4 linked regions of the Rhinolophus ferrumequinum genome follow. The protein of the gene in region 1 purifies or fractionates together with the protein of each later gene. This does not show direct contact. Links are inferred from orthologs where the notes say so. Each region holds a gene or a part of one and is shown in the gene's direction. Other genes may lie near its edges. The genes, in order: PARP1, RPA1, JUN and TOP2A.

Region 1 (7,243 bases):
CTCAAAGATTTCCAGGTTAGATGGGAAAGCCAGCTGTGTGAGCAGGTTATTATAAAACAGGATTCGGCGTATGGCTGACGAGAGTCCGTAAGTTTGGACTAGGCTCTGTGCAGCTTTGAGAGAAGCCCTCTCTGGTCATGTCACGAGGGTGTAGTCCTCAGTTGTGGAGTAGGGCCTTGCCCCTCGTGCCCTATCTGTGGTATAATCCAGGTGACAAGCCTGTCTTGGGTATACCTGGCTTCCTGAGTGTGAATCATCATGGGCTTGCTCACTGCCTCTTCTATCCCTGTCCACACTTTCCTCTCACAATCAGAGAGTGCCTCTTTCCAGAACACTAGCCTTGGACTCATAATGGCCACGATTGCCCCAAAGACGCCAAGCCTCAGACTGCTGGGAGAGGGGTACGGTTCCAGCACAACTGTGGCCTCCATTTTGAACTAAACAAGTAGAATCTCCTTGTCATTCCGTCTTCCACCCTGGGTCCCATGATGGCTTCGTACTCAAGGTGCTCGCTCCTTCAGCGCCAACCGCACATCTTCCTTTTGCACAAGGCTTAGGAGACAGTCTTCCAGGTGAGGGGGGAGCCCTTTAGTCATCCATGTAGCCACACTTAAGGCAGGCACTGCTTCAGGCCTCAGGGACGCAGCCCTGCCCGCGGGCCGCCTGCTTCCTGGAGTTGTCACATGTTAACAGAATAAGACTGCAGCATCTTACATTCGTCCTCATACTCGAAGTAATGTGGTTTGGTTTTGTGGTCACAGGCTGCAGGTATTATGTAATCAGAAAAGAACGGGCTGCTGTTTAATTGTGTGTTTTTTTAAAAGAAAAACAAGAAAAGGAGGGCAAGGCAATTTGTGGTGGAGGCAGTCATGGAAACTGAGCCTTCTCTGCCTCTCATCTGCACAGACCCCTGACTTCAACCGCCCACCACAGTCTCCATCACGCACGCGCATTTTTTTCCTCTAGTCTCACTCTGGTGATAAACCAGGCAACATAATGTATGGTAAAGAACATTTGGAAGTTAAGAGCAAAGAGAGAAGTAAAGTAAGATATGTTTACAACATTAAAAAAAACAAAAACCTACAAAGCTTAGAGTAAATATGGTGGGGAATATTTTTAAATGGGCAAAAGGGTAGAACAGGAAATTCACAGAAGGACTTGAAATAACCAGTGAAATATAAAAACAAACAAAGTATAATATACATACAAAATCTGAAGACTATGGCCAAAGCTTAACTCAGGATAAAGTATATAGCCTTAAACTCACATTGGGAAAAAATAAAAAATAAATGACAACTTAGGGACGGAAGTGGAGGTAGATGATGAAGTAGAACTTTCATCTTTTGTTCTGTATGCTTTTGTCTTATCTAAAACAGCTCTGCCCAAAAGAAATACAATGCAAGATACATACGTCACTTTGAATTTTTATTAGCTACATTTAAAAAGTAAAAAGAAACATAAAATTAATTTAAATAATATATTTGATTTTTTCTTTCTTATCTGTCAAGCATTCAACCTCCTTAGGCAAAATCATTCCTTTTAAAGAAAAAAGTGAAATGTAAAGCTGTATGTGATTTGTGTTTAAACTTTTTTTGGGGGGGGTGGGAGGAGTATTGTTACCAAGTAATTCTTTAGACAACCCTGTCCTGGTGGTATTCTCAACAGCTGTCAACCTCGCCCGGTACACTATGTGGATTGTAAACTGGCGTGAGAATTCAAAGCAGGTTTTTGTTGGTGCATAGTACAAATTAGTTCTATATGGGCATGGTATTTTTTTCATCTTCAGTTGTCTCTCATGCAGCTTCTATGAAATAATTGTTGTTCTTTTAATTGAATGCCACTCTGTAATTGGGGCGGGGACAGGATTATAGCTGTGATGTGGACAGTCTGAATGCTTCTAAGTAATTATAATCATTTTTTTTTAAAAAAAAGTAGCGTTGTAATGAGGAGCAAACAAATATTTATGAAAGCCCTTTGTTAAATATGAAAATCTATTTAAGTGTGAAGTAACATTATTATTAAAGAGTTGAGCTGTGTAGAGGAAGTGCCAACTGTGGGATTTATTCATTCATTCAAAGAAGTATTTTTGAGGGCTTAGCACTACTCATATTCTAGGCTCTGAGGATATTACAATGAGCAAAACAGACAAAAACCCCAGTTCTGCTAGAGGGAGTCTGACAATAAACATATACGTATGTATAAAATATGCTATGAGGAGTAATAAGTATAAAGAATAATATAAAACAGAGCAAGTAGAGGTGGCGTGCACACACTAAGCATATTAGCTGGGGTGGTCACACTAATACTATGTGAGCAGAAACTAAATGAAGAGAGGAAGTGAGCCATGTGCTTGCTAGGTGAAGACTGTTCCAGAAAAGTAAATACAAAGGCTCTGAGGTGGGACTGGGTTTGGGGTGTTTGAGGGACAGGCAAGAAGCCAGTGTTGCTGGAACAGCGGGAGCCTTGGGGAGAGGATGACCGTGAAGTCAAAGAAGTGGCCAGAGCTCCCATTCAGCCACAGGGAGAACTTTGGATTTTATTGTAAGTGTGATGAGAAGCCTTTGGAGGGTTTTCAAAATGGTAACGCAGGTTGAGATCTAAAGCAACCTCACATGGAGAGGGAAGACTAGGAGGGCTGGCATGGAAGGAGGCCACAGGATACTGTCTCAGAACCACAAAAGATGATGGTGGCATTGACAGCCGTGCTGACGGGAAGGTGGTAAGACACTATGGAAGTCAGGATTCAGAGATGAATTGGATGTTGGACAGAAGAGAAAAGGAGTCAAGTTGATTCCAGGAGTTTGACCTAAGCAATGCAGAGAACCATGAACCATTCCCTGAGACGAGAAACAGTGGAGGAGGTTTTGGACATCATTGGGGAAGAATATAAGACATCCAAATAAAAATATTGAGAAGGCAGTTGGGTATCGCTCGCTCTCCTTAGGGGTCTAGGGCAGGAATCCTTAACCTTGGTGTGTGTGCTCAGGACCCCCTTGTCTGTCCAATGAAGTCTATGGTCCTCTAATGCAATGGTAGCTTCCAGATACAGTATCAGGCAAACTGTGTCAGAAGTCACAAAACAGAAAGCCTCCCAGACCAGATTAAGATGCCTGAATTACACGGATTATTACATCAGTTCGAAACACCTGATTTAAACCTCCTGCGGCGAGGGGAATAACGTGGGGCAGAAAACACACATAGGACAGGACAGAGGCAAGGTGGAAGGACCACACCATGGAAACACCAAGTTATGCAATGTTCATAAGTTTTCTCTCTGCTGCATCAGCCAGCCCCACTGATGGTAGGGTTACAAAGACCAGAGCTGAGGATGCTCGAGGCTACTCAACAGAGTACTGAAGCCAACTCACAGTCACCTGTCAGAGAGACACAAGGAGAAGTATGCCTGGCCACAGATGTAGCTCACCAATCAGCTTGCAGAACACACACGGGTTTTATCTGCTGTTTTGGGGCGGAGCATATGGGAGCCAGAATCAGACCATAATATTACCACCAAGGAGAGGCCCAGAAGTCAAATGATCAGATTATCCTCTAAGCAAAATTCTTTTATTTGTTCCATCCTGTATTCCCCTTATTGTATTTACCTTCAACATATCTAACAGGTCACTTACCGTATTTAGGGTTCTTGCCTATGTCTCACAACATAATTGCCTACGTCAGTATCATGTCTCTTAAGCTACTAACTTTCTTCTTCTCTATGCTTAACATGTCTTACGAGTTTCATTCATCCTGTTTTTTCTTGTCCTCTACAGCACACCCCATTATGTTTTAAATGAATAGAACAAAATGTATAGGATTAAAAAAGGACGCAGTTATATAATATAGTTCTATAACAAAAAAATAACAAAATCTAAATAAAAATCTAGTAGCAACCGATCTTCTGACTATTGCAATTTCAAGTAGTGATGAGTTTCACAATTATTGAGTTGTTTCCAACAACTGTAAAGTGACGCGCTCATTGAAAGGGAATGAAGGTAGAATTAGTTGGGAGAGTATGTAAGCCTCCCAGGGGACAAAATGGTTAATGAGGTGGCGTCCGGTCCTTCCCATAGGTGCACAGGCGGTACCAGCCCAGGCTCTGCCGGCAGCAGCAGCCAGCTGAGCTCGCGCAGCCGCAGGCGCGGGGCAAGAACCGCCCGCCGCGGTCGGCAGAGGGCGCGCGTGCGGGCGGCCCCGCCCCTTAAACGCGTGCGCCGGGGGCGTTCCCGCCACCAGGCATCAGCAATCTATCCGCGAGCGGCGGGTGGTCGGCGCGGCGTGTTCGGCGACGGCTCTGGGTGCTCGGGCTCCTGCAGAGAGCAGACTGACGGACGGACGCACGCACGCACGCACGCACGCGCGGGGTGGAGAGGCGGTGGCAGCGGGTCTCCAGGGGGCGGCGTCGGGCTCCCGGAGCTGCAGCAGCACGAGGAGTACGATGGCGGAGTCCTCGGACAAGCTCTACCGGGTCGAGTATGCGAAGAGCGGGCGCGCCTCCTGCAAGAAATGCAGCGAGAGCATCCCCAAGGACTCGCTCCGTATGGCCATCATGGTGCAGGTGCGGGCGGGAGGGCCGCTTTGTGCGCGGCGGGGCTTCCGTCTCCGGGAGGAGTGGGGGAGGGCTTGCCCGGAGCAGCGGGCCGGGCCGGTCCCTCGGACCCTTGGCGAGGCCTGTAGGCGCTGCTGCTGCTCGTCCAGCGTGTGGCCCACGGGGCGGACCCTCCGGAAGATTTCGCTGATCTTGCAGGAAAAGCCCGGGAAATACAGTCTGGAACTGGTGGTGCCTTTTGTTTTGTAAAAATAAGGAACCGCTTCTATTACCGTTAGTCTCTGGCGGAAAAAAATGTGTGCGTGGCCTTTTGAGGCTCTTCTGATTTTGACCTAGCTTGTTCTGGAAGATTTTTGCTCTGCATTGATGGCGGCCACTGACATGGGAGGATTTTTTTTTTTAAAAAAAACGCCTATTTTGGGCTATCATTTCAACAGTCGCTCACCCTCATTTTTAAAAGTTATGCAAAACTATGCAATTCTGTGTCATAATCTGTACAGTGCATTCACTTTCTGCCCGATTTGTGGTTTAAAATAACATTTCCCCCAACTTCCTCGCTTCATAGTTGCATCTCTTGATGCATTTGCAGCTTATGGGGTTTGAGTAAGTGGCTTGGTGTTGGGGGGGGGTTCCTCTTCGGGACTTATTGACAGATTGGGGATCCCCGTCCGGGGTTTCCTAAGGCTTGGGAGATGCCCGTGGGTGCTGGGAGTCCTCTATGAGACGGTGTGTTTGTAGGCCCTTGCCAAGGGGGTGCCTGACTCCTCCAGCTTCCAGTTGGCTCCTGTTTGCTTGGGTGGTCTTGGTTCTCACCTGCCCTGTCTCCCCATCTCCAACATAAAGCTGTCTGTTGTCCCACCTTAGTGTTCACGGTCAAGGTAACTTGACTTTTCCCCCCATGGTGAGGCAGAAATGTGTTTTAGGAATGAGGGGAGCGCCTTCACCGGATTTTCAATAGTACTTAAAAATTGAAGGGGTGGAGGGGAGTGGGTGCCAAGGTTATCTCATTTCGTGATGTGGCAGGAATTGGGGCTGTCATCTTGTTATCTTCGGCACCTGGCACATAGTACTTACTCATTCAATAAACACTAGGAGGTTCCAGGCTCCATGTCGGGTACTAGGGGCACTCCATCCCAGGGAGCTTCCTGTTTGGTTAAAGGGAAGATGACTGGTAAACATTGCTCTCCAGGGGTGGATGTCACCTGATGGAGCTGTGCCCTAGGCATTGTTTGCCCATCTTGGGAGCTTGGTTAGGAGTCTATTCCCAGAAGTGGCAGGAAATCAAGGTTGGAATAGCAGACAAGGCCTGCCAACTGAATTGCCACATCTCCCACGAAGCATCTTTGAGCCTCGCTGGGGCCCGGGATGTGAATAGAAGGTCTAGTGAGTTTAGAGAACAAATTTACATCTCAATCGTCACTAACCTCTAGATAAAAGTCATTACCTCCCATTATGAGTGTAAGCCACAAAGGCATCTTAGTAGTACTTGTGATTTTTGTCACCAATGGTAATTACAGATATTTTCATATCACTTTACATTGGTTGGGGGATTTCTCTACATATCATTTACCATTTATGCTCATCACTGCTTCAAAATTACAGTAGCTATGAGAGTGAGTATTAGATCTTGTTACTTAATGCTTTCAAGCTCATGAGTTACTGTTTCACTATAAACTTTTAAGAAACTGTTTTGGAAATTATTTCAATATAATTGGTTTTCTTTGTGAGCCTCTGTCTTTTGTCACGTGTTTTTAAATGTTTTTCTGAGAAAGGGACATCCATAGTCTTCCCCCGGCAGCCACAGAAGACCCTGTTTTGTGGAGGACGGACAGAAACCTAAGTAGCCAGTGTGATGAGGCAGGGACACAGAGGAGGGAGAACTCTGTCTGGGGGAGTCTGGGGTGGCTCCATTGAGGAATCAACTTCTGAACCTAATGAAGTTTAACTGGGGCCTCTTTCAGCATACTTGACAGTGAAGGAAATTATTGTGACAAGTAAGTTTGGTTTTCTGTAATTGTAATTAGGAAGTGGAGTTTTAATTCTGGCGGTAAAGTTGGTCTTGTAGACTGAGCTGGTGGGGGCCAAAAAGAAAGAAGCTTTTCTTCTACCACTTGGATTTAAAAACCTTGTTTTACATTTGTATGGGAGGATTGTTCTCCACATAGTATCGAATACCTGAAACTTTAGCTGGTGTGCCCTGGGGCAGCCTTGAGGGGAGGAACAGGGAAAAGGGTGTGGGGTCCATTGTATTCTGTCTGGGGGGGTTTGAAACACACTGCATGGTCACTTTTGAGGCCACACATGGTGTGGTAACTGAGGGTCATTCTGTGCTCTCCCTGGGATGGATGGGCAGTGAAGAGTGGCTGGCTGCGGCCCCGGGGAGGGGTAGCTGCTCAGTGTGTGGAGTACACAACGATTCTGCCGCTGGCTCCTGCCACGCAGCTGCCAAGTGGAAACCATCCTCTTGTGATCTTGGTCTAGTTCCCTTCCTGCCATACCATTTGCAGTTCTGAGTTCTCGGGTCAAGCCTTGCTTTGGCCAAGGGTTCTGCCCTCTTTGAGGGAGACGGGGGCCCTTACAGCCCGCCCCTCCCCCGCAAGCTTGTGCTGTGAGTATGCTCTTGGATGGCCCCTCTCATGTGCCTAGCACTGCATGGGTAGTTGGAAACAGCATCCAGACCGAGGTTGAAGGGGCAGG
Region 2 (6,833 bases), on another chromosome or scaffold:
ACCAAAAAAACTATTAGAACTGATAAACAAATTTAGTAAAGTAGGATACAAAATTAATATTCAGAAATCGGTTGCATTTTTATACACCAATAACGAATTATAAGAGAAATTAAGAAAACAATCCCATTTACAATTGCATCAAAAAAATATTTAGGAATAAATTTAACCAAGGAAGTAAAAGACCTATACTCAGAAAATTATAAGACATTAAAGAGAGACATTAAAGAAGATACAAATAAATGGAAATATATACCATGCTCATGGATAGGAACAATTAATATAGTTAAAATGTCCATATTACTCAAAACAATATATAGATTCAACACAATCCCTATCAAAATACGAATGAAATTTTTCACAGAACTAGAACAAATAAACCTAAAATTTATATGAAACTATAAAAGACCCCGAATAGCCATGGCAATCCTGAGAAATAAGAACAAAGCGGGAAGTATCATGATACCTATATCAAAGTATACTACAAGGCTATAGAAATCAAAACAGCATGGTATTGGCATAAAAACAGACACATAGATCAATAGAACAGAAGAGAGAGCCCAGAAATAAATCCATGCCTATATGGTCATTTACTCTATGACAAAGAAAGCAAGAATTTACATTGGGGTAAAGACAGTCTATTTAATAAATGGTGCTGGGATAACTGGACAGATATATGCAAAAAAAATAAACTGGACCACCTTCTTCTGCCATATACAAGAATAAACTCAAAATGGATTAAACACTTAAATGTAAGACCCCAAACCATAAAACTGTTAGAAGAAAGTATAGGAAGTCAGACATTACCTTTAGTAATATTTTACTGATATATCTCCTCGGGCAAAGAAACCAAAGAAAAAATAAACAAATGGGACTACATCAAACTAAAAAGTTTTTTCCCAGCAAAGGAAACCATTAACAAAACAAAAAGACATCCTATTGAATGGGGGAAGATATTTGCCAATGATACACCTGATAAGGGGTTAATATCCAAAATTTATTTAAAAAACTCATACAATTCAACACCAAAAAACCAAACAATCCAATTGAAAAATGGGCAAAGGACATGAAGAAACATTTCTTCATAGAGGACATACAGATGGCCAATAGACACATGAAAAGATGTTCAACATAACTAATCATCAGAGAAATGCAAATAAAAACCACAATGAGATACCACCTCACTCCTATCTGAAAAGCTATCATCAATAAATTAACAAACAACAAGTGCTGGCGAGGATGTGGAGAATAATGGAACTCTGTGCACTGTTAGTGCGATTGCAAATTGGTGCAGCCATTATGGAAAACAGTATGGAGGTTCCTCAAAAAATTAAAAATAGAACTACTTTATGACCCCACAGTTCCACTCCTGGGTATTTATCCAAAGAAATTCAAAACACTAATTCAAAAAATATATGTGCACCCCTATGTTTACTGCAGTGCTATTCACAATAGCCAAGATATGGAAACAACCCAAATGACCATCAGTAGATGACTAGATAGAGAAATTGTGGTACATTTATACAATGGAGTACTACTCGACCATAAAAAAGAACAAAATCTTTCCATTTTCAACAACATGGATGGACCAAGAGGATATTAGTCTAAATGAAATAAGTCAGACTGAGAAAGACAAATATCATATGATCTCAATCATATGTGGAATCTAAAGAACAGAATACACGAGCAAACAAAACAGAAGTAGACTCAGAGATACAGAGAAAAAAAACTGATGGTTGCTACTAGATGGGAGGGGGTAGGAGGGAGAAGGTGAAGGGATTAGAAAGTACAAACCGGTAGTCACAAAGTAGTCACGGGGATGTGAACTACAGTACGGAGAATATAATCAGTAATGTAAAGATTATGTAGGGTGTCAGATGGGTACTGGAATTATCAGGGGGATCACTTCATAGATTGTGTAGATGCCTGATCACTGCACTGTACACCTGAAGCTGATGTAGAGTAATACTGAATGTCAACTATAATTAAATGTATATATATATAGTCACAGAATGTAAAGTACAGCATAGGGAATACAGTCAATGGTATTGCAATGGCTATGTATGATGTCAGAGGGGTAGTAGACTTGTTGGGGTTATCACTTTGTGAGGGGTATAAATGTCTAATCATGTTGTTTTGTACATCTGAAACTCATGAAAAATAAATAAAAATAAATAAAATAAATAAAATAGGGTTACTTGACCACACAAAAAAATTAAAATGACAAAATGCTTTATGCAAAAAACAAAATAAACTTAAAATCTTTCCATCAAAATGAGATATAACTTGAGAGCAAATGACAAAAGGGAACATTTTCCAGATTAAAATTTCCCTGGTTAAAGCTTTCATTAACTTACTGAAGAAGCGAAGAGGTGTGAAGAAAGACATCGCTCAAAGTCTCTGCTGTAGAAATTGTGACCTGAATGGACTTTGGGAGCAAAGCCCACTTCTGAAATAGGTATGATTTCCACTCATCTACGGGCAGATCCATGCTACTTTAAGTCTACAAAATGAATAAGAAAGTAAGGAATTTAGATTTCTACAAATGCACAATTTTTGAAAATCCAGATTTCATTCCAGCAAGCATGAAGCAACATAATCAATTCTTGTGCTCTTTTTCTATAGTTGTTTACATGCTGAAGAAGGATCTATATTTTCTCCAATTCACTCAACATTCTTTCATTCAGAGATTATTTATTGAAAACCTACTTTGTTCCAGGCACCACGCTAGGTGAATTGACAGCCACCATCCTTGTTCTCTTAGAACTCCATCTACCCTAGTTGCTCAAGTCAGAAACCTTAAGAGACCTCCCAGATTCTTCTTTCTCACTCTCCCCAGCAACTATTAACAAATATTTATATCTCTTACAGAGTTCAGTTTTTTTTTCAATCCCCAGGTCATTCTTTTAATTCAAGCCTTCACCATGTCTTGTCTGGCATTCTTTCCAGCCTGTCGTAACTAATCTCCATACCCTCAGTCCCCCCCCACCCCAATTTAATCCTTCTGCATTCAGACAGATGTCAGTACTCTGCCTTAACTTCATCAATGCTCCTCCTAGCATTTAGGAAAGCCCCATAGAAACCCTTCATTATTTGACCCTTGGCTTACTAATGTTCAAGTCTCACCTCCTCTGTAGGTAACTACTATCCTGAGCTATTCAATGCCATCCCCAGCTTGCCAGGCTATTCATCACTCCAGTTTTTGCATAGGCTATTCATTTTTCCAGGTTCATCCCTGCCCTCACTTGGAGTCCACCAAGCAAATTTCCACACATCCGTCAAGACTCAGTTCAAATGACACCTCCTCCGGGAAGCCTTTTCTGATTTTACATCAGTGTGATTCCAGCATACTTTGTCTCTCTCCTGGGGCCCATACCATGTCTACCTTGAGTTAGGGCTACTTACAGCGGAAGCTCCCGCGACAGCCTATGTTCTTTTCTGAGGGCAGGAACCAGGTTTTATTTACCTTCAGAAAGTGTGCTAAGCTCAGGATCAAGTCACTGCTTTGACTACATTTAGCAGCAGGGTTATCAGGGAGCAGCTCTAACTCTCCTCTGGGCTACCAGTCGAGCCGGGTATGTTTCCGAGAGCCCGCTCGCCAAGATCCCGGAACTGTTCCACTCGCTTCATTTAGCGGCGCTCGCGTCAACCTTGGCGCGTCCCGTAGCCTGGCTCTGTGCCCTCAGATCCCGCCATCCGGCGACTAGGCCTGAAGTTAGGCTTGGGAGGGTCACGTGGTCGTCCGCCGCGCCTCGGCCAATGCGGTGGCTGCTCAGCCCCTAGACCCGCCCCTGTGCCGTGTAAACGACAAGAGGCGGAAGTGGCGTACTCAGCTCCTCGGGCCAATTGCCTTAGAGCGCGCCGTACTCCGCGGGTGAAGCCTGGGCAGCAGCGCAGCCGAAGCGCGGGAGTTGTTGCGGCGGAGCCATGGTGGGCCACCTGAGCGAAGGGGCCATTGCGGTGAGGAGATGCCTGCGAGCTGGGCCGGAGGGCCGGAGTGGTTGTGGGCTCTGGGGCTGTGCGGATTGGAGAAGGGGAAGAAGAGCTGGAGGCGAGAGGGAAGAGAAAAGGAAAGGAGGAGATAGCGGGAATGGGTGGGGGGGAACCGCCGGGTGGACTCCCTAGAATCATCACCCTTTCTTGAAAGGATTTTTCCCATCGTCTTTTAAACATGCTTACGTTTTCCTGCTTAAGAACACGAAACAAAATAAACTGTTGACTCCCCCCATCTCCTGAGACTATTCTCTGTCTCCTTCCCTCCCCCCCCACCCACAGCCAAATTTCTCCAGAATTGTCTGTTTTCAGCTATTTCATTTCCGATTTCACAGAGAAAGTGTTTGAGCCTTCAAGCCCAGGTAGTCCATCTGACCCCGTGCCCTGGTCTGCTTGTCTGTCTCCTGCACTAGGCTGTCAGCGCATTGAGGTCAGAGACCTGTCTTGCTTTCTGTATCCCCAGTGCTTGGCACAGAGTAGACACTCAATACATGTTGAATTCATGAAAGCCAACGCTCACCAAACATAAACACTAGATGGGGTATTCTAAAGAGCCACACTTCTTGCAAAACTGCTAAAATGCAAAGGGATATTGCTCTTTTAGCTAAATCATGGCTGTTTAGAATTCTGGTTGTTTCAGAACTTTCTTATAGGTGCTGCAGAGTTGTGGGGTGTGGCTGACTGCAGTACATAGAGGACATACGGGTTTGCCACGCTCTCTGAGGCAATGAGAAATCGCTCCAATGAAACCAAAACCATATCTGCCATTTTAAAAACAATTAGAAAGAACTAAGCAGGGGCACAGAAAAGAGCATTTCTTAGTTGATTCTGGAGAAATGAACCTGAGCCTTGTCCACAGTGGCAGCAGGACTTGGAATGTCCGGGCACAGCTGAAAGGACGACTTCTGAGAGCCACTGGAGTTGCACAACCGCCCTCCATCAACCCATTAACCCACTTTAATCAGTCACCCCCATGATCACTGTAGAAATAACTAGGGCTGAAATTCACAGTGCCTCCAAGTGGCTAAATCCAACAGATGCTTCAATTTTCAATTTATCAGAGTGCTCAGCAGCATTTGAGTCTTGAGCATTGCTTCCTTCTGGTGACAATCTCTTCTTTGCGCTTCTGTGGCGCAGCTTGGCTGGTTTTCACATCCTATTTACAGGTTTCTCTTTGTAAATGTTTGTTGACTCAAGGCTCTCTTCCAAGACAACCTCATTACCATCTCTATGTTACTTGCTCACAAGTTTCTTTGTCCGGAGTCACCTTTTACTCTGAAAGACAAAACTCTAATTTATCCTACCTGATACCTCAAAGTCATTTAAATTTCAACATGTCCCAAATCAGAACTATCTTTCTGAATCTGGGCCGCTTGGTATTCTCTATCTGGGTGAATTGCACTATTATCCATTAAGTTATGCTAGCCAGAAATTGAGCAATTGAGGACTCATTCTTCCTGTGTCACCCTGAATGTTCAGGATACATGTTTACTTGCACATGTATCTCTTAACTCCATCTACTTCCCTCCATCCTCGCTGGCACCATCATTTTTTGCCTGGATCACTCACTGCCACTCAGCATACCCTCCTCCTGCTATTTCCATTATAGCATATTCTCAACTTGTTCTCTCTTCCTTTCCAGTCCTTTTTCTCTTTAAATTCCTGGTTTATTCTATACCCTTGCCTTCCACAGGGTTTTGATCATTCTTTTCCCTCTGCCTACTGCCCAGGTGGTTTTTCACTCTCATAGGCTAACAGTCTTCACATCTCAGTTCAGTTGTTAACTTCCCATGCTAGGTGAAATCCAGTTATTTTGAGACCCAAATTTCTCTGAGTTCACTTATCAACTCTGTGACTTTGGGCAAGATGTTAAACTTGGCCTTTCCTCTTCTGTAAAATAGGGTAATAATATCTAATACCTATTGGATAGTGGGAGGATTAAGGGAGTTCTTACATTTAAAGTGCTTAGCCCATGCCAGATACATAGCGACTGCTCAGCATGTTAATTACCTATTGATAATCACAGATGTAAGCTTACATTTATTTGTTGTTGATTTGATTAATATCAGGTACTTTCTGTCTCCACCACTGGACTACATTTTTTTTAGGTCTGAAATGATGTCTGTTTGTTTTTTTTTTTTTTTTTTGCTCAGCATGGTACCTTGAATACCTGGGGCAGTGCTGGCAAGTTTTAGGTGCCCAATAAACGTTTGCTAGTTGCATATGAGGCGGTGAAAAGAAAGGGACAGAGATGAATGGGGAAGAAAGGGAGCTTGGGGGAAACAGGAAGGGGAAGAACAGTTGGCGGAATGAATGGATATTTTAATAAATTAGGAATAATTAGACCTGGGAAGTAATTGCAAATTGTCATCATTTACTTTATAGCTGCTTTTCAGACAAATTATGGGAGTAGGAAAAAAATTAGGAACAGCTCTTCACTTTAAAAAAAATGAATGATTATGAGGTTTTTGCTATATTCAAGATTTTAGAAACATATTTCTAGTGTCAGATAAAGTATTACTTCGGTTTTATTCATAAATGACAAAGAAAAGTTTTGCCTATGTTTGTGGTGACAGATTGTAGAGGACCTTTGTCAACTTTGATTATTAGCTAAAGCAAATAATATCATTTTAGTTTAAAAGACACAGGCCCTAATGGGCAAACAACTAACACACAAATAGCAGAGGCATTGTGGGCAAGAGCTAACACAAAGTAAGAGAGAATGCATGGGACTATTGTGATAAATAGAACGAACAGCTTTTATATTGTAAGTAACTGGGTAATATAAAGAAAGGCAAAGGAAGTAATGTTTTCGACCATTTCCAATGTGCCAGATACTTTAT
Region 3 (7,907 bases), on another chromosome or scaffold:
ACATAGTAGGATTGCACTTTCTGGCATTCTGTAAGAAAGACATGGTCACGTGACTAGTTTATGACCAATAATATGTAAACACCAGTAATAAGACTCATTTCAGAGAGGAAGCTTTTAAAATCAGTGTGACTGCACTGTGCTTTCTTCCCCATTGAAGTGTTGGGAATGACTGTGGAAGCATATATCAAGATGAAACCTTCTGCAGACTCAGTTTCTGAGTGAGTACATGAAGCAAAGCCCCTTTGACTTTGAACATGTACTACAAACAAGAAATAAAGATTTTTGTTAAGCCACTAAGATTTTAGGATTGTTTGTTAATGGTGGCAAACCTAGTCTATCCTGACTGATGTAAGAATTGGCACCTAGATGTGGGGTAATGTAATGGCAACAGTAAAAGTAAACATCCATTTAGAGGGCAGTAACTAAGAGCACTGTTATCAGAAGCTAAAAGGACAGTGATCTATTTGGTGAATATATCACCTGTGACAATTTAGAAGGCGTGTCATGAACCTAATCAACTTAAAGTGAGAGACTAAAACAAAATGTTAGTAGAACGTGTTGGTGGCTGTTGGATGCATTTGGAAACTTATTATAAAAAAAAAAAGAGATGAGCTCAGAGAAGACTTGGCCGGTTTGCCAACAAGAATGAAAGAGAGTAGGGACAATCTAGAAATTCAGAGATTTGTAGGGTTAGAAGAGGCTAAGTTGTTTCTCAGTCTCAACTAGTAAAATATATAACTAAAAAATGTTTTCAGCAAGAAAAGGCAAGTTAAAATTAGCCTTGAAGTATGGATCAAGTCAAGGTATGGCCTCAAGCTTATTTATTGTTCAAACCTCTTGACAAATAAAGGTGTTACCGAGCTATGTTTTCAATTAAACAAAATGGCTCTAGAAAAGAAAGGAAAAGTGTGACTCTCACACCAAAGCTCAATAAACCCAAAGTACTCAAAACCAAGCTGGGGAGCAGGGGAATGAATATGAGAGATTGAGAGATTGAGAGAGACAGAGAGAGAGAAAGAGAGAGAGAGAGAGAGGTATTAGCAGGCAGGAGAACGAGAAAGCTAAGAAATGTGGCAAACCACAGGACTATGTCTAGAAAAGAATTGGCTCTGGCTATTGGTACATGGAATGGCTAGAATCAAACAGATAAGAAGCCTACATTTATGTGAGAGTTGTACTGCCAAAAGAACATCAGCCTGGATTAAAGGAGACTGTATTTGAGACTTAACATGACTCTGTACCCTCCCCCCGCCAATTTTTGAAAGCTTATTTAGAAATATATTTCCCAATGCCTGCTTTAGATATAGAAGAGGAAGACTCTCTCAGAGGGCAAAGCCAGGGGTCATGGGAAAGAATGGACGGGGCAGCTACACTCGGGGAGCAGAATCAGGGCCTAACTGGGGTGATGGGTAGGGGGTCCTCAGTGGATTAGTGTCTACTGTGGTCTCCCATCCCTCCACTTCCACGTGATGTATGCACGGCAGTGTATCCTGCCTCAGTCCCACCATTACATATTGAAGGTGTGCAGGGTAGACACCTTGCTTTTAGTTGATAAGTCCTATCTGGAGCTGATATAATGTCTACTACGCATCACTCAGAACCTGGAAAGGAAGCTTGATAGACTGTGACTAGATGGGTCTTTAGCGTTGTCTCCCTTGAGGAAAGGATGAGGGAACTCTGCCTGTGAGAGGACACTAAGCCAAACAGTTGGGGAACCGAAAGGGAGACTGCTCGAGTCATTAGTGTGGTTCCCCAAATCTTCCTAGCTCTCTTGGTTCAAGATACTTGGTAGGATTACAGAGATTTCAAGTTAGGCATGGCCACGGGACTTGCTTTGGCTAATGATACAGAAGTACTGTGTGTCACTTCCAGGTGGATGCTCTGAGAGCCAGTCAATGATTTCCCGCCGTCTCTCCCCGCAGCCAAGGTAATAGTAATACGCAGGTGTCGAGATGAAGCCCTCTTCAACTGGAGTCCTTGAGTGACCACCGTGAACAGAACTCCCCCATAGACCCACAGTGGGCATGTAGCATCAGCAAGAAATAAACTTCCGTGGGATAAGACACTGAGACATTAGGGTCGTGTGTGAGGGCAGCATAGCCCAGCCTTTCCTAACTGGTACAGGGAGAGAGAGGTGAGGCCTGAGAGCAGGAGCTAGACTGTGAAAAGCTCCTTCTCCCAGGCAAAGGTGTCTAAACTCTCTCCTGGTTGTAAGGGGACGGCAGTGAAGGCTTCCAAGCAGGGGCGTTAACTTTTAAACAGATCTGTTATTTTTTGGATGAAATATGCTACTTCTCAACATAAGGAGAAAATCAGCCTACTAAACCACATAAGGCAGAGAGGAACACACAGAACCCTTAGGCAAAGATATATATATTTATACAAAGTCCTAATCTTGAATTTTCTAAATACAGGAGCTCTGAAAGGAAGCTCTGAAAGGAGTTACAGCGGCGCAGGCAAGGCAATTTCTTCTGTCCCACCATCGAAGTGCCATTTCCGCTGCAGACAATATGTTACAAGAAAATCTCCCAGAGCAGAGAAGATACGAGGGAATGTAACACAGACCTGAGGTCAATTTCCAGCTGCCTGTGTGACCTGAGCAAGATACTTAACCTCTCTGGGCCTAGTCCCTCATATGTTAAATCTGGTTAATAATAAACATAGCTCTAGATAGTTGTGGGGAGAAACAGCATATTTAAATTGCTCTGGCAAATGCCTGGCTGATAATAGGCATTTAATACATGAAATTTATTTTTATTACTCTCATAAAAATTAAGAACACCAGCTCCTTGATTACAGACGAAAATGATTTAGGGTAACAGTATAGAGAATACTCCCTCCCTGAGGAAAGTAACTGGATCTTGTCATCACTGTATTCTAACCCCACCCCTACCCCCCACCCCAGCTCAGTGCCTGCCTCACAGTAGCCACTCAGTTTTCCTCTGCTGCATGACTGAATGAGAGGTGAGTGCCTGGAGTAAAGAAAAGTTGTCAAGATTTCCCTGCCACTAGCTACTGTTGGGCTGTTGAATTTTAACCCTCAAAGCCAAAAAGACCATCAGACTCTGGGCTCTAAACGCGTAAGCTGAATTCCCCGAAGTTCTGAAGTTGAGAAGCCCGAATTAGAACCTAGGGACCTAAACTGCTGCAGGTCCAACTTCAAGCCTCAGTCACGGGCAAAAGGCCCAGGAAAGGGCTGCCTTCGACCCTTTCCTCCCTCACTCCCCTTCCTTCGATGCTCCTCACAGGAGTTTTTACACCTGTTCCTGTCAAGTCACACTCTTACATCCTGGCATTCCAGGGAGGCTCTGGGAAACTCGGGGAAGGAGGCTGTTTGGTGACTACTTCCTAGCCCTGAAGGTGATGATACTACCCTAACTCTGCCCAGTGAGGTGGTTTTCACCGCCCCGCCCCCCAGCCTCCCGCACCCCCGCCGCAGATAAAGGAACTGAAAAGCTCATAGAAGTTCGGTGACTTGCTCACTTCACACCATGGCAGCGTTGGCCACGACAGAACCCACGATTCCCGACTTCGGTGTTCTTTCCACCACACACTTTTGTCCCTAAGGGGGATGGGGGTGGGGGGAGATAACAAGAGCCACCAAAAAAAAAAAAAAAAAAAAAAAAAAAAAGGAACCACTTACATGTGTCTAGCGCTTCCTAGAGGCTACACAGGATATAGGCCCAGCTCCCGGGCCAGAGCCGTGAGATTTTAAATCCTGCTTCTATCCGACTCCTCGCTGCGTGACTTTTGGCGAGTGTCCTCTCGGACTTGTTTCCCCGGAAGCAAATCACGGCGGGAGGAGTGTGAATGTCTGTGCGTGTGTGTGTATTCGTGTGATGTGTGGTGTGCGAGTTCTTGTACGGGGGCAGAGAGTAGACGATCGCCGGGGTTCCCCGAGTTTCGGATTCCCTAAACGCTTGTTCTCAACTGGACTGAGTTGCCCCCTAATTGCACCCCTTATTAAAAAAAAAATACAAAAACCCTCCCCTCCGAGACGAAGCTATGACCTCGCACCCTTTCTCCCATCGTCGGGAGGGTGAAGTGGGGGTGCCCTGAGGAATTAGCTGATCACCAGTCTCGAGCAATGCAAATCACTCGGCTTCTAGGCGCAGCCAGACAGCCCGGCGGACGGTCGCTGGTGAACTTGACCAGGAGACAAACTTCCGAGCGTACTCAACGTGGGGGGGCTGACTCTCGGAGACTGCCCCTAAACTTAAGCCCACTTTCACTTGCCCCCACGGGGGACTTAACAGAGCCACCTTAAGGGCGGTGCTCCCGCCCCCCGGAAGTGCGGGGGAGGGAAAAACCCGAGCTGTAGACCTCCCGGCCCCGCGAGGCGGCGAAACGCCGGTGGATGCTATCCAGCACCCACGAAGTGGGGAAATACCACCCGTCTCGCACCCTCGGCCCCAGACACCCGGCCAGGTTCCCCAGCCCTCCGAGTCCCCGCGTCTTCTGCATTCCGCCCCGAGACCCGAACTTGTGCCCGCTTCCATCAGAAGATGCGAGCGCCCGCGTCGGCCGGGCTCGCAGTGGCCACCGTCACTAGACAGTCAAGCCCCAAGACGTCAGCCCACAATGCACCGGGCGGGCCGGGAAAGACGCGCCGGGGAGGGAGAAGAGAGGGGCGCGAGGCGCGCGGGAGGGGGCGGGGGAGGAGGAGAAAGAAGGGCCCAACTGTAGGAGGGCAACAGAGCATTACCTCATCCCGTGAGCCTCCGCGGGTCCGGAGAAGAATCTTCTAGGGTGGGGTCTCCATGGCGACGGGCGGGCCCGCCCCCTTGAGAGCGACGCAAGCCAATGGGAAGGCCTTGGGGTGACATCATGGGCTATTTTTAGGGGTTGACTGGTAGCAGATAAGTGTTGAGCTCGGGCTGGATAAGGGCTCAGAGTTGCACTGAGTGTGGCTGTATCAGCGAGGCGGGAGTGGAGGCGCGCGGACTCAGGGAGACAGGACAGCAGTAGAGTCCGAACTGCAAATCTGATTTTCTTTTCCATTTTCTCACCAAGTGCCCAGAGCTAGCGCCTGTGGTTCCCGGGCTGGTGTTTTGGGAGAGCGTCCGAAGAGCCCCCTCTCCAGCCGACCCAAGAGGAGAACCCCACTGCCCGGGCGCCGCTGACAGCGCGGAGGGCGGCGACTGTCCCCTGGAGAAGTCTGGCGAGCCGCTGTAGCGGCAAAGAACTTTCCTGGCCCCGAGGACAAGGGACAAGTAGCCCCTGAGTCCCGGACCGAACTTTTGCAAAGCTTTCCTCCGCTCCAAGCTGCCGCGGCGGCGGTAAAGAAAAAGCGACGGAGAGAGGAGAGCGAGGAGGGACGTGCGCTCGCACCGGTTGCTGAACTTGGGCGAGCGCGAGCCTCGGCCGCCGGGCGCCCCCTCCCCCTCGCAGCGGAGGAGGGGACAGTCGTAGGAGTCCGGGCGGCGGAGACCCGCCGCTGACCGGCCACTGCGGGGTCCGCGCTGAGTGCCGCCGCCAGGAGAGCGGCTGTCGCCGGGAAGCGAGTGAGTCCGCGGGCTCCGAGGAGCCGCTGCGCAGAGGAGCGCTCAGTGAGTGACCGCGACTTTTTAAAGCCGGCAGCGCGCGAGAGCCGACAAGTAAGAGTGCGGGCGGCGTCTTAACCCTGCGTTCCCTGGAGCGCGCTGGTGAGGAGGGCGCAAGGGGGAGGACAGCTAGCGGGTGCGCGCGCTATTAGATAAACTTTCCTTGCTGAAGGCCGGGCAGGCGCGGGTGTCCCCCGCTTGCCAGCGAGCTGTTGCGGCCCCGAAACTTCTGCGCGCAGCCCAAACTAACCCCACGTGAAGTGACGGACTGTTCTATGACTGCAAAGATGGAAACGACCTTCTATGACGATGCCCTCAACGCCTCGTTCCTCCAGTCCGAGAGCGGCGCCTACGGTTACAGTAACCCCAAGATCCTCAAACAGAGCATGACCCTGAACCTGGCCGACCCGGTGGGCAGCCTGAAGCCGCACCTCCGGGCCAAGAACTCGGACCTCCTCACCTCGCCGGACGTGGGGCTGCTCAAACTGGCGTCGCCGGAGCTGGAGCGCCTGATAATCCAGTCCAGCAATGGGCACATCACCACCACGCCGACCCCCACCCAGTTCCTGTGCCCCAAGAACGTGACGGACGAGCAGGAGGGCTTCGCGGAGGGCTTCGTGCGCGCCCTGGCCGAACTGCACAGCCAGAACACACTGCCCAGCGTCACGTCCGCGGCGCAGCCTGTCAGCGGGGCGGGCATGGTGGCTCCCGCGGTGGCGTCCGTGGCGGGCGGCAGCGGCAGCAGCGGCTTCAGCGCCAGCCTCCATAACGAGCCGCCGGTCTACGCCAACCTCAGCAACTTCAACCCGGGCGCGCTGAGTAGCGGCGGCGGGGCGCCCTCCTACGGCGCGGCCGGCCTGGCCTTTCCCGCGCAGCCCCAGCAGCAGCAGCAGCCACCACAGCCGCCGCACCACCTGCCCCAGCAGATCCCCGTGCAGCACCCGCGGCTGCAGGCCCTGAAGGAGGAGCCGCAGACGGTGCCCGAGATGCCCGGGGAAACGCCTCCCCTGTCACCCATCGACATGGAGTCCCAGGAGCGAATCAAGGCGGAGAGAAAGCGCATGAGGAACCGCATCGCTGCCTCCAAGTGCCGGAAAAGGAAGCTGGAGAGGATCGCCCGGCTGGAGGAAAAAGTGAAAACCTTGAAAGCGCAGAACTCAGAGCTGGCGTCCACGGCCAATATGCTCAGGGAACAGGTGGCACAGCTTAAACAGAAAGTCATGAACCACGTTAACAGTGGGTGCCAACTCATGCTAACACAGCAGTTGCAAACGTTTTGAGGAGAGACTGTCGGGGGCTGAGGGGCAACGGAGAAAAAAAAAATGAGAGAGAGACAGACTTGAGAACTTGACAAGTTGTGAGAGAGAGAAAAAAGAAGTGTCGGAGGACTAAAGCCAAGGGTATCCAAGTTGGACTGGGTTGCGTCCTGACGGCGCCCCCAGTGTGCACGAGTGGGAAGGACTTGGCGCGCCCTCCCTTGGCGTGTAGCCAGGGAACGGCCGCCTGCGGGCTGCCCCGCTTTATGGACGGGCTGTCCCAGCGCAAACAGAACGTTAGACTTTACTTTAACATTGACCAAGAACTGCATGGACCTAACATTCGATCTCATTCAGTATTACAAGGGGGGAGGGGGAGGGGTTACAAACTGCAATAGAGACTGTAGATTGCTTCTGTAGTACTCCTTAAGAATACAAAGGGGGGAGGGGTTAGGGGAGGGGTGGCGGGAGGGAGGTTTGTGAGAGCGAGGCTGAGCCGACAGATGAACTTTCTGGCCTGCCTTCCTTAACTGTGTATGTACATATATATTTTTTTTTAATTTGATGAAAGCTGATTATTGTCAATAAACAGCTTCATGCCTTTGTAAGTTATTTCATGTTTGTTTGTTTGGGTGTCCTGCCCAGTGTTATTTGTAAATAAGAGATTTGGAGCACTCTGAGTTTACCATTTGTAATAAAGTATATAATTTTTTTATGTTTTGTTTCTGAAAATTCCAGAAAGGATATTTAAGAAAATAAAATATTGAAAAAGTACCCCTCCCCCAACCTCTTTTCTGCATTATCTATAGATTACCTATCTGGATGGAGTGGAAAGAGTTAAGAGTGTCCATTGAAATCACTCTCAGGGCTGCTTACTATCAAGCAGTAAAAACTATTCTCTACTGGGCATGAGAAATAACTGGAGCTGATGCTCTCACCAAGTTATACACTTCCCTCCCTCATTATCTATATAGAGTTGCTTACAAAGGGTAGTGTGGACCTTGAGGAGGCTGAGGGAAGGAGGGTTGTGGTGAAGAGGGATTGCCCACTGGGAAGTCCAACACTTTAAAGTTTGGATTAGAGCAAGTGGCATGTGCTGTGACCATTT
Region 4 (7,238 bases), on another chromosome or scaffold:
ACTTGATTTCAAAAGCCCAGGCAGGCTTTCTCCTCTAGCAGGTTCTAGCTCATCTCGTGAGAACAGGACGAACTACCTGCTCCAAATGACAGTCTTCTCTGTTCTCTGTAAATTCCCACTTTTCTGCTCATGTAGCTTCTTTTCTTTCATGATCAACAGGGAGGAAAGAGAAACATGTAGGCAGCACTTAGCTGCAGGCCTTTCAGGAATACCATCTTTGTCTTTAATTACAAACAGAAGGGCATAGCTTTTTATTTCCTTTTGGTGAATAACTTGCTCCTAACTCCACTCCACCACTTACCAATCTTCCTGGTCTCTGACATCAACTGTGAGGGGGCCCTGGAAGTACCAGCAGGGGGGACAACTATCAGATTAGTATCAGACAGAAGACACCCCCGAGATGTCCTTTTTTATTCCTCTTCCTACGTGGAGAATTCTAACCCAGAGTTCTTCAGTGATGACCTTCTCTGTTCCAGAGTGCCGTAAAACGTACCAGGAATGAGTATTCAGGTAGCCTGCCCATCAAGACACACAATCCAGTCCAGCTCTGCCTCCCCTTCTCGTGTGAGAAGCCAAGAGAGCAGAGGCCCAGCCCTGGCCTCTGTTGTCAGAGAGGAAGTCCTCCCTATCCCACTCCCTTGACCACTTCCACTCTGTGGGTTATAGAGGAAGGATGTGAGGAGCTGGAGAATCTGGGGGTGAGGGAGAAGGGAGGGGTTCATGGCTGTGTTTGTCCAGGTTTTGCTGACCAAGCCTCCAGGAGGCAAAGATGCCAAGTCCAAATGCCAGTTCCACCTGCTGCCATTAGTAGCCACAGGTGCTAGAGATAGGTAACCAGGAGGTCTTGGGACCCTGGCAGAGATTTAAGGTTACATCAGCCATGCTACTAGGCCAGGAGGCAAGGGGTAGGGGTGTCACATAGGGAGTGGAAAGAATCAGAGACCATGCTTCACCTCCCTGACACCATGCCCCAGCCCCAGTGGGCTTGAGCTCGTTCCTATGCAGCTCTGGGCTGGGCACTGGCAGGGAAGGGGAAGCCAAGATAACGGCATACCCTGATTTCAACCAACTCAATTCACAGGGGTTTTTCTAAATATAAGTAATGGATTGCCATTTTTACACAGAACAGAATTCTTACACGTAAAAAGATGAAAGTGGAGCTGCTCTGGGTTGGAGAATCTGGGCCCATCCCACCCCCTCTCTAGACTCTGTGGAAGGCGTTTTGCAACCCACTCCTCTAGCTGGGCTACCTAGACTTCAGTGTACAGGTGGGGAAACTGAGACCTAGAGACAGGAGGAGATTTACCCAAGGTCATGAGACTAGTGACAGCAGAACTGGGCGAGGACTTCCCACCACAATACTCTGTCCCTCAATTTGGCGCAAAGGTTGAGATTTCCTACTGAGTCCTCACCACTGGGTTTACTTAAACTGCGAGTTCCCCCAGTATGTTGAGACTCTATCTCTATCTACAAAATTCACATTCTCACACAAACTTGTATAGACAGATAGGCCTTCAGTGAGGTGAGGAAAAGGGTCGGGGGTGAAAAGGGTATAGGGAGTATATGAAAACAAACACTTAGAAAGTCACATGTTGGCAAAGGGTCATGAACACCGAGAATTATCAGGGCCCACAATTACAGAAGAAAATCTTTTAAATTTTGTTTAAGCTAACTTTTTACATTATAAAAATAAGACATGTCTACAATTTTTAAATGATCAAATAGGATAGAAAGGAAAATATGAAAAGTGTTCCTCCCCCTCCAGTTATTTACGATTCCTTCCAGATGTTTTCAACGCACACATAAACATTTACCTAAATGGGATTATGTTCTAATTCTTTCCTTCACTTTTTAAAAACTTAATATGTCTTAGTGATATTTCCATATCAGTACACCTAGATCAACTTCCATTAGATAGCTGCCAGTTCTTTTCTAATAAAAACAATATTGCAATAAATAATCTTGTACATGTATCTTTGCACAATTGCAGACACCTGGAATTCCCTCTTTATGGACAATACATCCCAGGCCCACCTGTCCTGGACTTTTCAGTGGACCCCCACAAGTCTTGCAGGGCCCCTGTGAGAGGCTCTAGGAAGGAGGCAGGCTGACAGAAATAGCTTATGTCCAGAAGAGAAGTGGGGGTTCTTTCATGATCAAGAGAAGAAATTTCTGTGCTAGAGGGCTGGAGAAGGATTGTCCGAGGTGCTTCCATATGTCATTTAGCCCTTTGTACTTTTGATAAAGGATAATGATATGGGGAAACTGAGGCTCAGAGCGATTTCTGACTCATGCATGTGTGACTCCAAAGTCCTTTAGACTCCACAGTTCTGCTTCCAGGTTTTTGGAACAGGATCAGGCTAAACTGCAGGGCAGATTTAAAGGTGGGTCCCAGAAAATAGGGCTAGAGCTGCTTATTAAATTCCTGGGTACTGCAGGCTAGGATGAGCAACAGGGTGGAGGCAAGAGGGACAGAGGCTGGACTGCTATCCTAGGGGAAGCATGGCCACCCACCCCTACCACTTTGGAGCTCTGTGTTCCAGGAGGTAGAAGGCAGCATGGCTGGTCTCTGTCAGGGTCCTCCTCTGTCCTGGGGAAGCTGTAGGCAGTGACATGAGAAGACCTGTTCAACCTCTGGGTGGGCAGAAGCTACAGGATGGGCTTCCCCACAACTGCTCTGAGACCCTGGTGGTCCTGTGCATGGACGTTGCCTTTCTGATCAACACATATAGTGAGCAGAGTGAAGCTGAGAACACTTGGGAACTACGGGAGGCCAGGAGACCAGAGGAAGGGACCAGCGCCATGCCGAAGCAGCCTTCCTTCGGCTTTCCCAATCACTCTAGCCCAGTGGGCTACTTCCATCCCGGACTTCACGTCCTACCACACCCCCTCCGCATTGGCCCTCCCTGGAGAGCTCTGCCAACAGGCTGGGCATCAAATATGCCTGGGTGATTTAACAATTGGTTGGCCCTCTGGTTCTTTTAGAAGAAAAAAAATTAAATCCACAAATTGTCATGCCAGCCTAAGGAAAATTCCTGCTTCCTGATTCAGATACTGTTAGCCTACTATCCTAAACATGTATCTCGCGTAATCTTCACACAACGCTGAGGTAATACTATTATTTTTATTTCCCTTTTTCAGCAGAAGAAATGAAAGCGACTGAGAAGCTGCCTCCCTCAAGATGACACAACTGTCAAATTGTCCAGCCAGGACTGAAACTCAGGGAAGGAGCTGGGTCAGATGGAATCAGTAGCCATGCAAATTGTGCACTCCTTAATTTTTCTAGCATCTTGTAAGGGCAACAACATTGTTTTGGTCATTTTAACATTGTGAATTGATGAGGAAAAAAGAAAGCCACTCAAGAAAAACTTCAATCTGGCATTTCCTCATCAAACCTGAACAGCTGTTTTGGACTGCAGAATTCAGGGAACTTAACAGGGAGCAAAAGTCACGAGGGTATCCTACTGGCAGTCTGAACCCCAAAAAAACTCAGTACTAGAATGGGCCCCTAAGCCATCCTCAGCTCCTGAGGCGGTAACTATAAATTACCCCAGTGGCAGCCTAAAGCCCCTCTCCTGGGGGACTCGAAGGCTATTTCGCGCGGCCTCTCTACATTTTTCTATTATATGAAAACGAAAACCCACAACTGTAGCACTTTCGTTTCTTTGAAAATAAATTCTTGGAGGGGAGGGGAGAGGAGATTGAGGCAGACGTCAGAACCTGTGTTCGCTTAATCAAATCGCCGCCAGGCTTCCTGTACACAAAGCCAGCCAGCACTGTTTCTTCAGGAAAATGGAGCTAGGACTCTCGTTCTTCTCGCTAAAAAACCTTGGGACACAGGATCGTTTTTAGCTTTCAGGGATCTGAAATAAATTAGCAGTTCCTGGGGAATGAAACCTTTTCTTTCCTCTTTTTATGCCAGTCTGCACCTCAGAAATCCCCCTCCTACCTCCACCGCGCGGTCCACCGAGTTTTCTGCACTGCGAAGACAAACGAGCCCTCCTCATTGGCCAGATTCCCTGTCGATCCCTCCGCTACGACCCAAAGTGGTGTCGTTTGAAAACCCTCTAGTCCCGTCTCCCTTGCCTAATTGGTTCATTCGAACAGGCGTTCCTTGGAGAACATAAAAGACCAGCTACGATTGGTTCTTCAGGACGGAACCGGTGAGAGCGAATCAGGGATTGGTTTACCTCGTTTCGGCGGGCTAGAGGGAAGTTCAAATTGGACTGGAGTTGCTCTCCCAACCGACCAGCGTCTGTGGAGAAGCGGCTTGTCCTGTGATAATCTCGTGGGTCCCGCCGGTTTAGTCTCTTGCAGGGTTCTCGAGCCTTTTCACGACCGTCACCATGGAGGTGTCACCACTGCAGGTACAACTCGCGAAATGGGCGAGTCGTGGAGCCTTAGCGCGGCCCGATATCTCTGGTTGCTAGTGAGGGAGTGAAGCTCCTGGGCTTCGCGGTCGTCCGGCCGCGGCGGCCTGGGAGCCTGTATTCCGTGTGGACCCGGGTCTCCTGGGTTCGGCGTGATCGTGACGAGGGTGAAACTCTTTATGGTGGTAATATTGAAGTGTTATGGACTAAATTGGCTTCTAGGGTGTTGTGTTTTGTTTTACTGTTTCTAGGGACAGGAAGCAACTGGTCCTATCGTAGATCTGTACTATAATGGTCCACTTGTGACTAAACAACGCCTCCTGATGCTTTCCTCTGCTATCCTCCTGCTGAATATGGAATTGAATGTCCTTGACCTTGGAAGGTGCAGAGCAAGGCACAGTGTTCCCAATGAGCCGGCAGGCCCTAGTTGCTCAAAATACGTCCTTCTGTGTTCACAACGTTAACGTGGCCAAGGGATTGAATCGATAGCCTCCCAAACTGCTGCTGCTGAACTAGAATCTACTATGTGCCTGGGACACAGTAGGCACATAGTAGATGGAGTAGATGAATAAGTGGGTGTATTTTATTGATGACATCTAAAGCCCTTAAGGAAAATATTTCCATACCAGATACATTTAGTGAGATGAGATGTATGTCCATTTAAAATGTAACCTGGGTACCTGGCTGCAGTTAACTTAAATTGCCACGTTTGTACAAAACGATGTAAACTCCACCAATACTCATTAAAGATGGCGATTTGTTATAGTGTTTAAGCATATCATAAAGGTAGACGTTTTGTTTATAGTTTCTGATAAACCTATGATTAAAGTTCCCTTTGCTTCAAATGTTTTTAAATTGCTAGCCTGTAAACGAAAATATGCAAATGAACAAAACAAAGAAAAATGAAGATGCTAAGAAAAGACTATCTATTGAAAGAATCTATCAAAAGAAAACGCAATTGGAACATATTCTGCTCCGTCCGGACACCTATATTGGCTCTGTGGAATTAGTGACCCAGGTAAAACAAGCTAATTAAATGCAGTTACTAAGTAGTTAAAATGTGTGTTTTTCCAGGTTAATTTTCTATACTTCATGTACTTTGAGTGTCACTGGCACTGGCCTAGTCTATTTTATATGAATATATATATTCCAGAAAACTTATTCCAGTAATCATGATGATAAAACAGAATAAATATAGGGTAAAAATAACTGCATCTCTTTGCCTTATTTCTAGCAAATGTGGGTTTATGATGAAGATATTGGCATGAATTTCAGGGAAGTCACTTTTGTTCCTGGTTTGTACAAAATCTTTGATGAAATTCTAGGTAAGTAAATTCTTTCACATAAAGATCTTCTGGTCAAATCCTTCATAAGAAGTATATAATTCCTAGCAAACCCTATGTAGCCAGAGCTGTCATTTCAAACAATAGTTGGCAAAGGTGAGACAGTGAAGTTGAATTCTTAACTAGAAACAGTACTGTGAATAAAAATTGCTGAATTAACACCTCATTAATGCTACTGCGTTTGAGATTTTTGCTTTCTAAGAGTTAAAGATTTTTTTTATAAATACTTCAATTTCTTACAAATGTGTATTTTCTTTCAGTCAATGCTGCAGACAATAAACAAAGGGATCCAAAAATGTCTTGTATTAGAGTCACAATTGACCCGTAAGTCTCTTGCTTAGTCTTTTGTTTGTTATAGTTCATTGTTCTGTTAGTTGCATTTACTTAGATTTATAGTGAAGTTGGCTTTCTTAAAATGAAAGTTTGCAAAAACACAGAAAGGCAGAATGCTAAAATGAACAATCTATGATACCTACCACCTAGATCCAGCAGTTATCAACACTTTGCCATATTTGCTTCAGCTATATTTTTTCTGAAGCATTTGAAAATAAATTACAGACATTATGGCACTTCATCCCTAAATAGTTCAGTAAGCATCTCCAACAATTGCTCAAAGTATTCTGCAATCTAGAGCTTTTTTTCATATGATGCTATTCAAATAGTAAACCAGAAGGTGGTGATAGAGATCTAACATTTCTGGTTATAAATGATCCCTTTGTGGGTGGTCAGGATGCTTGTTTCACCTTTTTATTAGCCTAATCAAAGTCCAAATAAATTTTTAGTATTTTATTGGCAAGCAAAGAAGTTTACAAATGATGTTTTTCCCTTTCACATTTGTTTTGCAATGAGCTTTGTTGGGTGGAAAAGGCTAAGAGAGCTAGGACAGTACAGAAGATCCTCTCAAAAGCAGTGTAATACTGTTTCCAAATTATGTTCTTTTCTTTCCATTGAGCATAAATCATTTCCCTTTGTTTATTTTAACATTTTAAAATTTCATGTTTTTTTCAACATTATCAGTGTCTGCCCAGGTGTTGGAAAAGGTTTCATTTTTTTTTTTCCTCTTGGCTCCTATTTTAGGAGTGTCAGGAACTAAGCATGGTGGGAAAGGTAGTTCATGCTGAATTTCAGAGGGTATATATGAAAAAGAATCATAAAGAAATTGAGACTTTGCTGGGTAGAGAAATCTTGGTTGTAGGCCCTTGCTTTTCATCACTTTGAATATTTCATGCCAATCCCTACTGGCCTGCAAAGTTTCTGTTGAGAAATCAACTTCGTCTATGGGAGCCCCCTTGTAGGTAACTAACTGCTTTTCCCTTGCTGGTTTGAAAATTCTCTTTGTCTTTAACCTTTGGCATCTTAATATGATGTGTCTTAGTGTTGGCCTCTGGGTTCATCTTGTTTGGGACGCTGTGCTTTCTAGGCTCGTAAGTCTTTCCTTCACCAGGTTAGGGAAGTTTTCCATCATTTTTTCAAACAGGTTTTCAATTCCTTGCTCTCCCTTCTGCAACAACATGGATGAACTAGA

The links.
Region 2: the proteins of PARP1 (region 1) and RPA1 purify together in Homo sapiens (affinity purification with mass spectrometry; 3 studies listed by BioGRID, with this or other methods). This does not show direct contact. The link is inferred for Rhinolophus ferrumequinum from reciprocal best matches to the Homo sapiens genes PARP1 and RPA1.
Region 3: the proteins of PARP1 (region 1) and JUN purify together in Homo sapiens (co-immunoprecipitation; 3 studies listed by BioGRID and IntAct, with this or other methods). This does not show direct contact. The link is inferred for Rhinolophus ferrumequinum from reciprocal best matches to the Homo sapiens genes PARP1 and JUN.
Region 4: the proteins of PARP1 (region 1) and TOP2A purify together in Homo sapiens (co-immunoprecipitation; 3 studies listed by BioGRID and IntAct, with this or other methods). This does not show direct contact. The link is inferred for Rhinolophus ferrumequinum from reciprocal best matches to the Homo sapiens genes PARP1 and TOP2A.

Annotation. Positions count from the first base shown.
Region 1 is NC_046310.1:14,339,841-14,347,083, reverse strand, and holds the start of PARP1 (poly [ADP-ribose] polymerase 1), read left to right. Parts: upstream 1-4,233; 5' UTR 4,234-4,435; coding exon 4,436-4,555; intron 4,556-7,243. UniProt on the Homo sapiens protein: Poly-ADP-ribosyltransferase that mediates poly-ADP-ribosylation of proteins and plays a key role in DNA repair.
Region 2 is NC_046304.1:16,154,700-16,161,532, reverse strand, and holds the start of RPA1 (replication protein A 70 kDa DNA-binding subunit), read left to right. Parts: upstream 1-3,821; 5' UTR 3,822-3,924; coding exon 3,925-3,957; intron 3,958-6,833. Other genes in the region: SMYD4 (SET and MYND domain-containing protein 4), read right to left, coding at 2,355-2,488. UniProt on the Homo sapiens protein: As part of the heterotrimeric replication protein A complex (RPA/RP-A), binds and stabilizes single-stranded DNA intermediates that form during DNA replication or upon DNA stress.
Region 3 is NC_046292.1:42,541,700-42,549,606, reverse strand, and holds JUN (transcription factor Jun), read left to right. Parts: upstream 1-4,892; 5' UTR 4,893-5,818; coding exon 5,819-6,823; 3' UTR 6,824-7,411; downstream 7,412-7,907. UniProt on the Homo sapiens protein: Transcription factor that recognizes and binds to the AP-1 consensus motif 5'-TGA[GC]TCA-3'.
Region 4 is NC_046304.1:36,816,674-36,823,911, reverse strand, and holds the start of TOP2A (DNA topoisomerase 2-alpha), read left to right. Parts: upstream 1-4,226; 5' UTR 4,227-4,346; coding exon 4,347-4,367; intron 4,368-5,232; coding exon 5,233-5,388; intron 5,389-5,604; coding exon 5,605-5,695; intron 5,696-5,973; coding exon 5,974-6,037; intron 6,038-7,238. UniProt on the Homo sapiens protein: Key decatenating enzyme that alters DNA topology by binding to two double-stranded DNA molecules, generating a double-stranded break in one of the strands, passing the intact strand through the broken strand, and religating the broken strand.